3 linked regions of the Arabidopsis thaliana genome follow. The protein of the gene in region 3 interacts with the protein of the main gene of each other region in a pairwise test. Each region holds a gene or a part of one and is shown on either strand. Other genes may lie near its edges.

The links.
Region 1: the proteins of LUL1 (region 3) and GDU3 interact in a two-hybrid assay, tested with the Arabidopsis thaliana proteins (one study listed by BioGRID).
Region 2: the proteins of LUL1 (region 3) and GDU1 interact in a two-hybrid assay, tested with the Arabidopsis thaliana proteins (one study listed by BioGRID).

What each region holds. Positions count from the first base shown.
Region 1 is NC_003076.8:23,365,163-23,368,583, reverse strand, and holds GDU3 (glutamine dumper 3), read left to right. Parts: upstream 1-1,520; 5' UTR 1,521-1,781; coding exon 1,782-2,228; 3' UTR 2,229-2,779; downstream 2,780-3,421. UniProt on the Arabidopsis thaliana protein: Probable subunit of an amino acid transporter involved in the regulation of the amino acid metabolism. Stimulates amino acid export by activating nonselective amino acid facilitators.
Region 2 is NC_003075.7:15,359,111-15,362,711, reverse strand, and holds GDU1 (glutamine dumper 1), read right to left. Parts: upstream 1,701-3,601; 5' UTR 1,506-1,700; coding exon 1,029-1,505; 3' UTR 638-1,028; downstream 1-637. UniProt on the Arabidopsis thaliana protein: Probable subunit of an amino acid transporter involved in the regulation of the amino acid metabolism. Stimulates amino acid export by activating nonselective amino acid facilitators.
Region 3 is NC_003076.8:759,684-763,432, forward strand, and holds LUL1 (RING/U-box superfamily protein), read right to left. Parts: upstream 2,158-3,749; 5' UTR 1,985-2,157; coding exon 1,542-1,984; intron 1,425-1,541; coding exon 959-1,424; intron 872-958; coding exon 767-871; 3' UTR 636-766; downstream 1-635. Other genes in the region: CPUORF47 (peptide upstream protein), read left to right, coding at 1-465; AT5G03204 (uncharacterized protein), read right to left, coding at 2,604-2,714; DIP2 (E3 ubiquitin-protein ligase), read right to left, coding at 3,387-3,656. UniProt on the Arabidopsis thaliana protein: Acts as an E3 ubiquitin-protein ligase, or as part of E3 complex, which accepts ubiquitin from specific E2 ubiquitin-conjugating enzymes and then transfers it to substrates (in vitro).

The sequences.
Region 1 (3,421 bases), about 23 Mb from region 3:
TTTTTCATTTATATTTATGTGTTCACAGTTCACGATGAAATATGATAACATATATATATATATATATATATATATATACCTATCATAATTATTTTTTATGCTGTATATATGTGAAAAAATTGTCTATATATAGTAGTTAATTAATTATGTATATGAATACAGCATGAAAAATTATTGAGAGCGAGTGTGAGTCTTGTTGTTCTTGCTTTGCCGAGTTTCAAGGTCTCATACGAATTCATTTGCTCTTTAACAATCATGCATATCTTGCATATATATCAATATGTTGGAGATACAATAAAGTTGGTTATAAATATGTATAGTGGAACTCGAAGTAAGAAGATTTAAACAAACATGTAATTTTAGTTGTTTTAGGTAACGTTCACTTTACTTGTTTGGCGTTAACGGTTATTACGTTTCCGGCTATCTCTTCACGTTTGCATCGCTCACCTAAATTTTAGCGGCTTTAACGGAACCGTTTTTGGTCAGTCTCTTGTCCTTATCTTATTCCCCTTTTAATTGCCTCTTTTAAACCCTCTTTCTTCTTCAGAGTGTTTCTTTATCTATTAGCCATCAATCATTGGTTTTTTTGTTCTAGTTAAAAAATTCATCATTTTCATGACTCTTATGTTTTCATGTCTCACTTTTCCACTGTAAATTAGAAAAATAATTATTAGCCAAGTAGATGTTGATCTTACGCTGTACTAGTAGAGAGTATAACCACTCAGCAGATATTTTCTGTAAAGTCATACTATATTTTATTCGAGTGGATTCGACACTATGTGAATGGTTGTTAATTATCTAAAACAGTGTTTAAGTGTTACAATAAATGATTACTAATATTATAATTCCTTGGAGTATGATAGAATCGAAGATATTTTTTGAAATTATCCACTGATTAAGCTTAAAAAGTAGTAAGGAATACTGATTAAGAAACAGACCACATTAATTGGGTCCCAACTAATCACCGGCACCTAAACCAACAGAAGCTCATCATTACACGGCTTGCTAACTATACATAACATTCCTCTGTAAAGCATGTAGTTTCAATTTTTGAAATATATAAACCCTTAACCTTGCTGAGATTATAAATGTTACCAATCATTTTTAAAATGCTATTGCTGTGAATGTGAACGTCGATTATTTATGTAAACTTCTAAGTAAAACACATACACACATTACTCTAGAAAGAAAAAAGTAGATATGTTAGTTATCTTTTATGTTGGTAAGCGACTCAAAACGGACAAAAAAAAATGAGTATGGTAAATCTCAACAGCCAAAAAAAAAAGTTTACCATTGAATTAAGAATTTTCTCTTAAAAATATGTTTGGAAATCATAGGAAAACTTGTTAAATGTTTATTTTTTCATTTACAAATTATATATATATTCAGTGGTTAATCCTTTTGTACACACCATCTCGATTACTTTAGCAAACGGCAAAAATAAGACATAACATAAGTTATGCACTCACGTCACGACTCCATATAATCATTCATGATAACTGAGAAACATAAAAACTGAATTCATATTGCTTTTTTCTCCAACTCACTCATTACATACAAATACATAAATAAATAAGAAAAATTTCCATAAATCAGAAGTAAAAAGAATCTCATACGCAAAATAATAAAATTAAAAATTGATACGTCACACACAATCCACAACGTTAATTCGCTTCTTCTCTTCTATAAAACCCTTCCTCACTCATCTTCCTCCTCACACCAAAACATTTTCCTAAAAAAAAAAAAAACTCAAAACTCAAAACCATCTTTGTGAAAAAAAAATGGAAGGAAGACAATATTACCCTCCGAGAGAAAACGTTGAAGGAAACAGAACCACCATGGGAGGAGGACCTCACTCACCGTGGCATTCACCGGTTCCTTATCTCTTTGGTGGTTTAGCAGCGATGCTTGGTCTCATAGCTTTTGCTCTTCTAATCCTCGCTTGCTCTTACTGGCGTCTCTCCGGTTATCTAGACGGCGAGGAAAACCAGAGCAGAGAGAGAGATCTTGAAGTCGGAGATGTGAAACCTGACAAAACGGCGGTGAAGCCTGTAGCTTTGCCGGAGAAGTTCTTGGTGATTATGGCCGGAAATGTCAAACCTACTTACTTAGCAACGCCGTCGGTAAAAACGTGTACTTGTGACGATGATGACGATGAAGATGATGACGTGGAGGGAAGTGATCAGGTGGTGCCGCGGAGTAGTGAAAGTAACGGTGAGACACATTGACAAAACCAGAGGAAGGGAAGAGAAAAACAGAGGATCGTCTTATTGTGAACAGTTCTGAAGAACTGTTTGCAGCATCTGACCCGGTTGCGTCGGGTATTCGGGTTGGATCATAACTCTACTTGATGATGAGTAATATTGGAAAAAATTGGAATTGGGATTGAATTATTAGGAGTTGTTCTGATCAATGATGTATTTAAAAAATCTTAGCTTTTGCCTTTTGCATCGTTAATTCGTTTTTTTTTTTTTTGTAAGTTTTGTGCCATATCTAGGTCATGATGAGGGATAAAATGTAAATTTCTGAGACTTTGAATGTGAAATTTGTGATTTATGGAATTGAGAATGAAAAAACAAATAACTATCTGAGACTTCAATGAAAATATCTTGATTATTTTAAAAATTCACCAAAAAAAAAAGGTGATTAAATGATGAAAAAATTGTACTGTTCCAGTACATGTTTTTTCGTGGGATTAATGTGACAATTGTGGTCCGAACAAAAAAGAAAACAGAGAAAATATCAAAAGATTCTTCAGGTGAGAAAATTGAAGTGAGGACTACAGGCACGTGTGAAGGCACATGCAGAAGAATGTCTGATTTAATTTCTCTTAGGTGTCTCTAAATTGATGCGGCGAGGTGAAGCAGTTAAAATTAGCTTCAATCAACGACCCTAATCGTGTAATTAATCTCCTATAGCATAATTCTTATCAGGAAAATATTTTATAAGTTTCGAAAATGACTTTTAACTGCACTAGGTCTCTTTTCTTTTTTCCCTTTCAATCTTATCTTGTAGGCTGTAGCCCTAGCTAGGTTTCTTTTTTTTTATATTACTTTAAAGCTATGGATTCTTTATTTATACATTCATCTAATGAAAATGGATTACCAACTATTAATAGTGAATATTCGAGTTCAGAAACTAGACTTTGATGAATAACCGTCAATCTTTTGCCTCTTCTTCTTTGTTGCATAACAAATAGTTTTGTTTTATCAAAACAGAGTATTTTTATCAATTTAACGATATATGTTGAGCTGCGTAGACTTGTAATCAAGATGTTCGATGTAAAAATGTTTTTGGATTGGTTATGGGTCGAGAAAATAAAGTTGGCTAATGGTGGGTTTTATTTGGGCCCACTGTAGTTTTTTTGGTAAGAGGCCCATTGTGGTTATATATTCACTTTGTTCCTTACACAAACTTTGGG
Region 2 (3,601 bases), on a different chromosome or scaffold from region 3:
AATATTTTCTCAACGTTAATTACAAATACAAGATCTCCAGATCCGTTGACTGGATATATTTTTGTGTAATTTATTGATAATCTTTTGTGTGCGATAATCAGCCATTTTTATTTATTTTTTGACATATTTGCAAGTCGAAAAGTATTTTAAAAGATCTTAAGTAATAATCAGTCTTGAAAGATTTTGTAGTAGTAAACCTAAAATTTAGGCTTAAAAGTCTTGGAGAACGGTCGATATAGATAAACAAAAATCATGTGGAACTAGTCTATTTTTCTTGTATCCTAATAGTAACATTATGTTATAATGATTTTTAGGATTATAAAACTGTCGGCGATGTATGTTTTTGTTCATAAATCTAACTTTTAGATGTATTTTCATGACAATATTCGAATGAGATTAAAAAATATATATGTAGTCAACGTGTGTTTCGGATAATTTTCTTCTTAAACTGCTTGTAAAAACACTAAATGATTACACCTCATAAAACTCTTCGAGTGAGGAAAATAAATCTTGCTGAATTAAAAGAGGAAAGAAAGTGAAATTGGCATATGGATCAGACAGCTCTGCTGTCAACAGATTGAAGCACTTTCTCTGTTCTGACAGCCAACAGTTTGAAGTACATGCAAGGTTTTTAAAAAAGTACAATTTTTGTGACCGTGAGTAATCAACCTAACCACCATATGAAATTTCTGAATTAGCACGTATTTCCACTCAAAAATGTGGAAAGTTATATAATCAAAACGAATTGGTTGGAACAATCGAATCCTAAATATATGGATGTACACACATGTACACGTAAGAAACCGCAGTTTCAAATATACTAGACTTTTTGGGGTGAAGTGACTAAATATTTCCTCAAACTACAAAATTTAGGATAATACGATTTAATATATCAAACGGTAAACACTACAGAACAAGTAAAAACCCCAAAATTTTGCTCTCTAGTAAAATTTACATTTCTAGGAATCATGACGAGGACAATTCTCCAGAAAACTCTCAAAAAGACGTTAATTTAGAAAAAGAAAAGTTTAGTGACTTGTAGTAGTTGTCTCGCCGGTATCTTTCACTTTCTCTTCTTCGCCTTCTCTCATCTTCTCTTCCTCTTTGGCAACACTTTCCTCCTGAGAAATCACCATTTTACCCTCGTGACCACCACACGTACACTTTTTCATCGCCGGTGTCGCCAGATACCTCGGCAAATCTTCTCCGGCCATTATGACAAGAAACTTCTCCTCGTAAGCTCCGTTCGCCGCCTTATCTCCAGACCGGCTCTCTTTCTCTTCATCTACGTTTTGACCATCTTCTTCGCCGGAGGAAGACAGGCGCCAGTAAGAGCAAGCGAGGATGAGAAGAGCAAAGGCGATTAGTCCTAGCATCGCCGCTAAACCGCCGAAGAGGTAAGGAACCGGCGAGTGCCACGGTGATTGCGGCGTCACTCCGTGGTGATTAACGGAGGTTGACGTTGCCACATCTTCAAACTTCGATTGTACGCTCAATGGTCTCATTTTTGTTGTTGTTGTGTGTAATCTCTTTTTGTTTCTCTCTGGACTTGTGTGTTTTGGAGATAATTTCTTCTACTTTTGTTTTTCTAACTTGATGTGGAAAAAGGAAAGATGAGTAGGAAACAGAGGAGAAGGTAAAGAGATGTATTTATAGGTATATGCAACTTGGGGACAAAGAAAGTGACGATCATATTTAATTGATGGAATTTAGTGGAACCAACTCTTTATTTCTTAACCATAGTGAACTCATCAACGTATCTCTCTTTTATTAAAGAAAATAACGTATTTATACTGTAAGAACTAAGAAGTTACAGCTGGACAAGTGAAAATGTTAAATTTCATTCAATATATCAACAGAACTAGACAGCTAACACTTTTATTTTTCATTCTTGAAAATAATAAAATACAGTGATTTGAGAGTTGAGATATACATAGTCCGTACAGATAGAGGCATATTTTTTGAAATCGATGTATTATCCATATACCACGCAAAAAAAATGTTTGTAGCTAATCAGAATCAGGGCATAGTGAAAGAGCAGTTTAGATTGGGGTGTAGTGGAATATGACAATGTTTTCACGATGATAATAGCGAACAAAGATTATTTGAAAGTGAGTGAGATTGTGGGTTAAAGTGCCAACAATTTCATTTTGTTTTTCTTCATTATTATTTCCAAATTTCATTTGGCTCTGGTGCTTTGACTTGACATATATACTCATTAATTAGTCTATCTTTCTTCTTTTCTTGCCTCTAGCCAAGACTATGCGGTGATTCCATTTTTTTATTTTTCACTTCTTATTAAGAGCTATGGATAAGAAGATCATAAGTTTATATAAGATCTCATTTTGTTTATGTGGTACGGTGAAGCATCAATCGTAAAGATGGTTCTGTGTAATTTGATGTCCGATTCCCTATAGTTCTTTAGTTTTAGTCCTGTAATTTTTTTATTTTTTTATTGCAGTTGTTTAATATATATGTTTATCAGTTAAATTTAGAATCTCTTTTTTCACCGTGGAATGATCCAATATCCACGGTAAAAGAAAAACTTGGGTTATCCTTTAATTTCCTTAGTTTTTCTTTACCTAATTTTTGCTTTTTGTTATTTTATTTTTATCTCACATCTTGAATTCTTGATTATACTTTCCCACTGTTTAGCCACAATTTGATTCCTCTTCTTAAGAATGTACGTTGATTTCTTTTATGCTTTCATCTTTGATGCTTTGTTTGTAGAGAAAATTAGGAATCTAGCATTTTAAAAAATTCAATTTGTTCAAATAACAGATACTATAGAAAAATCGTTGATGTTTTGTCTATTTGCTCAAGAATTTCGGCGTGGAAGCTTTGGAACATTGGCGTAATAGTTTTGAAAAATATGTAACGTTTACTTGTCAAATAAATTTTTGTCATGTTTTAATTCATAAACTTCGGTCGAAAACAAAATAGAATCATAAAACAAAGCAAGAAAATGAGTATCATGGGACTGGATCCACAAGACCGGGACATGTTTGATTTTTATGGTAATTATTTTTAGGCAATCAGAAAAATTGTGTTTTTAAAAAAGCAAGATAGAGAGATATTTTTAAAAAGATATTGTTATTTAAAAACATAAATCAAAATCAAAATTGGGAATTTCTTGTCAGTGAGAGAATAATAGTTTTATATATAAATAAAAAAAATACAGGTCCCATCTCATATGAGTATAGCAAGTTTCACAATCTTCATCATTAAAGAACTCGTGCATCGTTTAGAAGAAAAAAAGTTTTTACCTCTTTTTTAATTCTAAAACAGTATCAAAGTTTTTTACAAGAAAAAGAAAACAATAAAAAACAACAAGGGATAAGAAGGCCGCATTGTCCATTGGCAATCATTCCACTAATCACTATTAACATGAGAAAATAATATTTGTATAGTTTTGTTGTGTGATTGTGTCCCACGTTTCGTCAGCTTCCACTTCGCACCTTTTAGCAGTAGAGGGTACGTTTTCTTTCTGCACGGACAATCACCGCTCGTCGTTTTGTACTATTCGTCCCTACTCCTCTCATACATATAAATGGAAACGTTCAAAAATCTGAATGGCTTAAACAAATTAAGTTCAAAAATT
Region 3 (3,749 bases):
GCCGAGCACATGGATGCTAATTTAACTCCAAACTGGTTCTTTCCGTTATACCCACTCGACAGCAAAGCATTCAATGTCTACTTTGTCGACCACAACACTTCAGTAATGCTATCCTATGTCAAGAAACCCGGCGTCACCTTTGTTTACCATCCGGATTTGGCTGAGAACAACTCGACAGGGAAAAAGATAACTCCGCTTGAACAGCTAGAACCATTTCCAGAAGATGAGAGATTCGATTTCCTTGCTTGGTTTGAGGAAACTGCGAAATACGCAGACTTTGTAGTCCTTAAGATGAACACAAACCAAGTGGAAATGAAGTTCCTAACTGTTTTACTGGAAACAGGAGTCATATGCTACGTGGATGAGCTTTTCCTCCGCTGTTCCAACCACAAGTCAGACTGCATCAACATGCTTCAAACTCTGAGAGCCAGAGGTGTGTTTGTTCATCAATGGTGGGAAGACTAAACCAATGTAAAACTCAATCTCGCTTCGCCTTAGTCTTATCTACGTCGATTCGTGTCTGTCTTTGTCTCAGTTGTAATGCCATCACCTTCTGTGTTTGCCATAGTTGGTCCTCGGCCACCACAGCTCCTGGCCAAGCACCTATAACTAAATAAGAAGCTGCCTATCTGTTTATCATTGCTATTTAAGAACTCAGTTTCCACTTATAATATATTGAACCATAACGTTTTACGTCTTAATTAAGCATGGCATATATTACACAAGTCGATTGCTTAACTAAATTTGTTCATTCTCCATCTCCATTTCATCCGTTCTTGTTAATCTCCAAAAGCATCTCAACAGGTTGTCTGCAAACTGGGCACAGATTTGTCTGAAACCTTAACGCCTTTGCGCACCCGCTACACATACACTGCCAAACAGAAATACACAAACCATTTCAAAAGAAGTTCAATTTTTTTTTTATATGAGCTAATTTTAAGTATGATGAACACTATACCATGTGTCTGCAAGGAAGAACAGTTGTATCGCGTGGTTCAGACAAGCATACAACACATTCCTTTCCCTCATCGGAACCATCAACCGTGTTCTCAATCCCATAAATCTCAAGCAGCTCATACCTCCTCTTATTCACCCATAGTATCTGCTTCACCACTTCTATTTTAATCTCTCCTTTCTCCTTGGTATACACCACTTGAGTAATCTGCACATTGGTGGAACCAGACTTTCCTTCTTCCGCTGGAGTTGCCTCCGCCTTAACCGCCAACGGGAAGACATCTGTATCCACCTCCTTGAATAGCTCGGAATCTTTAAACGCCGTCAAGTCTATACCCGTTCCAGATGATTGTATGAACTTCTGACCAAGTCCTTCTCCGAAATCAAAAGTGATTGGAGGCAAAGTATCTTCCTTTGTAGCTCTAAGATTACATTCTGCATCTTCTGTAGCAAAGAAAACAACTGTGATCCTGTTCTCGCCAACCAAAACAACAAAAGCTAAGTCATTTATATTACTCCATTGATTGATTCAAACAAGATTCAAACTTTTAACTAAATTTGATCATTTCATAGTTTGAAAGTAAAACCTTCCGGGCATGGATGCATCAAATGTGAAGGAGACAAGAAGTCGATTCGGATTCTCCGGGTCGGGTATGAGCGTTAAAGTCTTCTTCTTCAGATTAACATCGTTACGAATCGTGACGGCTTTCTGGTGGACGTACGTAGGAGGCGGCAGTATAGGGTATCTACCGCCGTGAAACAAAGGATGAGGTAGTTGGTAACTGTTGGGAGGATAGTGATGCAAATGGTTGAAATTGTACGGTAGCATCGGCGGCTCAGTTACTGGCGGAGGAAGGCAGTTACCTGGATACTGGTCAACGTAGTTAGGGTTAGGGTTCAGATATGGTGGCACGGCGGCGAATACAAATCTGTTCGGTGGGAGTTCAAGAGGAGCCGTTTCCATCGCCGGAGGAATATTGCTCCTCTGCCTTCTCCCGCAGCAGAAGATCAAACTGATCAGATTCCCCATGATCGGAAAAAGAAAAAAGGTGAGGTTTTTCGGTGATTCAGTTGATAAGGAGTAGAATCGAAGTAGGTTTTATGATCATTGAGAAAGGGGAGTAATGAGATTGGAGATAGCGACGTCGACGAAGAAACACCAAAACGTTTATTTGTATATATTATAAATTAGTATTAAACTTGATTAATTACCATGGGAAATTGATTATTACTTTTAATCACATAAAACAAAGAAATCATTATCAGTAGCACTAGGCAGGCAATAGGCCCAAGGCCTCACAACAATATCACGGTTACAAAATAAGAAGAAACGAAATGACAAAACCGGAGACACGAGATTGGTTTTGGAGGTTGATCGGAAAACAAAGAAACACATCCATTAATACCGGCGATTACAAGAAGCACTGCTCGTCATTAAGAAACATCTTGCACTGATCGTCATTAAGAAACATCTTCTCTTATGTCTGATTATATAGGAGATCATAATAACGTCGATAAAAAAGAGTTTAAAGTGGAAATCAACCAAGAAATAGAAAGCACTATCAAGATATATTTCAAAATGAATATTTCATTAAAATGGATTAAAAAATAATTAAACACTCGAGTTTTGATCTTGTCTTGTTAAAATTTTACTCATCGTGTTCCTCATAAATTGTCCCCAGCGAAGGCGAAGCTGAAACCCTCATCGGATAAACAAGAATCGCCGGTACAGTTTCGAATGGTCCGATCATCCTAGCCATGATTTGTAAATATACTCTTTCTTCGATTTAGACTTCGGCAGCTTTCGACTGTGTTGAGAAGATCTATGTGGAAATTATTGTTATTGCTGATATTTATAGAGATAGAGAGGAATAGTAGTAGTGTAATTAACTAATCATCAAGTGATCTTTATATATTTGTATACTTTTTTATAGGACGCAGCTTAATACTTATCGCACGTGATATTTATGTTTCATATTTAGGTGATGCTCGAAAGTTGAAACATAAGTATGCGTACACTGCTTTAGTTTGCAGATAAATCATACATGTCTTTATTAAAAATTAATGTAAATTAGATTCTTTTGGTTGAGAAAATGATCGCACCAAACAGAAATAGCGGTGAGACTGGTTTCAGGTTTAAGTTTGGTTTGATATTTGAAGATACTGATTTTTTGTCGTGGACCGGTTATCGTCCCGGTTCGGTTAGAAAGTATATTAAGATTTGTCTTTAATTACCAACTCGTGAGCATATAACAACAGATCACCGAGCGTACAAGATGTGAAAGTTGAATGAAAATTTCACAAAGAACTGAGATTTGATTGTACAAAAGATACAATACAAAATCTCATCTTATACAGTTATAGAAAAAACAACAACAACAACAAGAGTCTATCTTAAACCCAAGACCGAGTAACAAAATGATCATTACAATTTACACGTCCTCGTTTTCTTGTTCTTGATTGTCTTCTTCGGTCTCTCCGCCTTCTAAAATCGTCTCAAGAATCGGAGAAACCGATGGCTTCGCCGGAGAAATGATTTGTGGAGGAACAGCCTCCATCCACCACGCCACATCCACCACCACCGTCAGATTCTGATCGCACCGATTATCAAAGAAACACATATTCGCTTCACTAGATATTATTTTAGATTTGCGGAAGTAATTCAAATTGTTACTTTTTGAGTTGAATTGATACGTGTTCATTTGTTCGTATTTATAGAGAGATTGACGCGTGGAGATATGTGGAACAATGATGGGTTTGACGTAAGAGTCGGACAAGTGGACGATCCACAATGT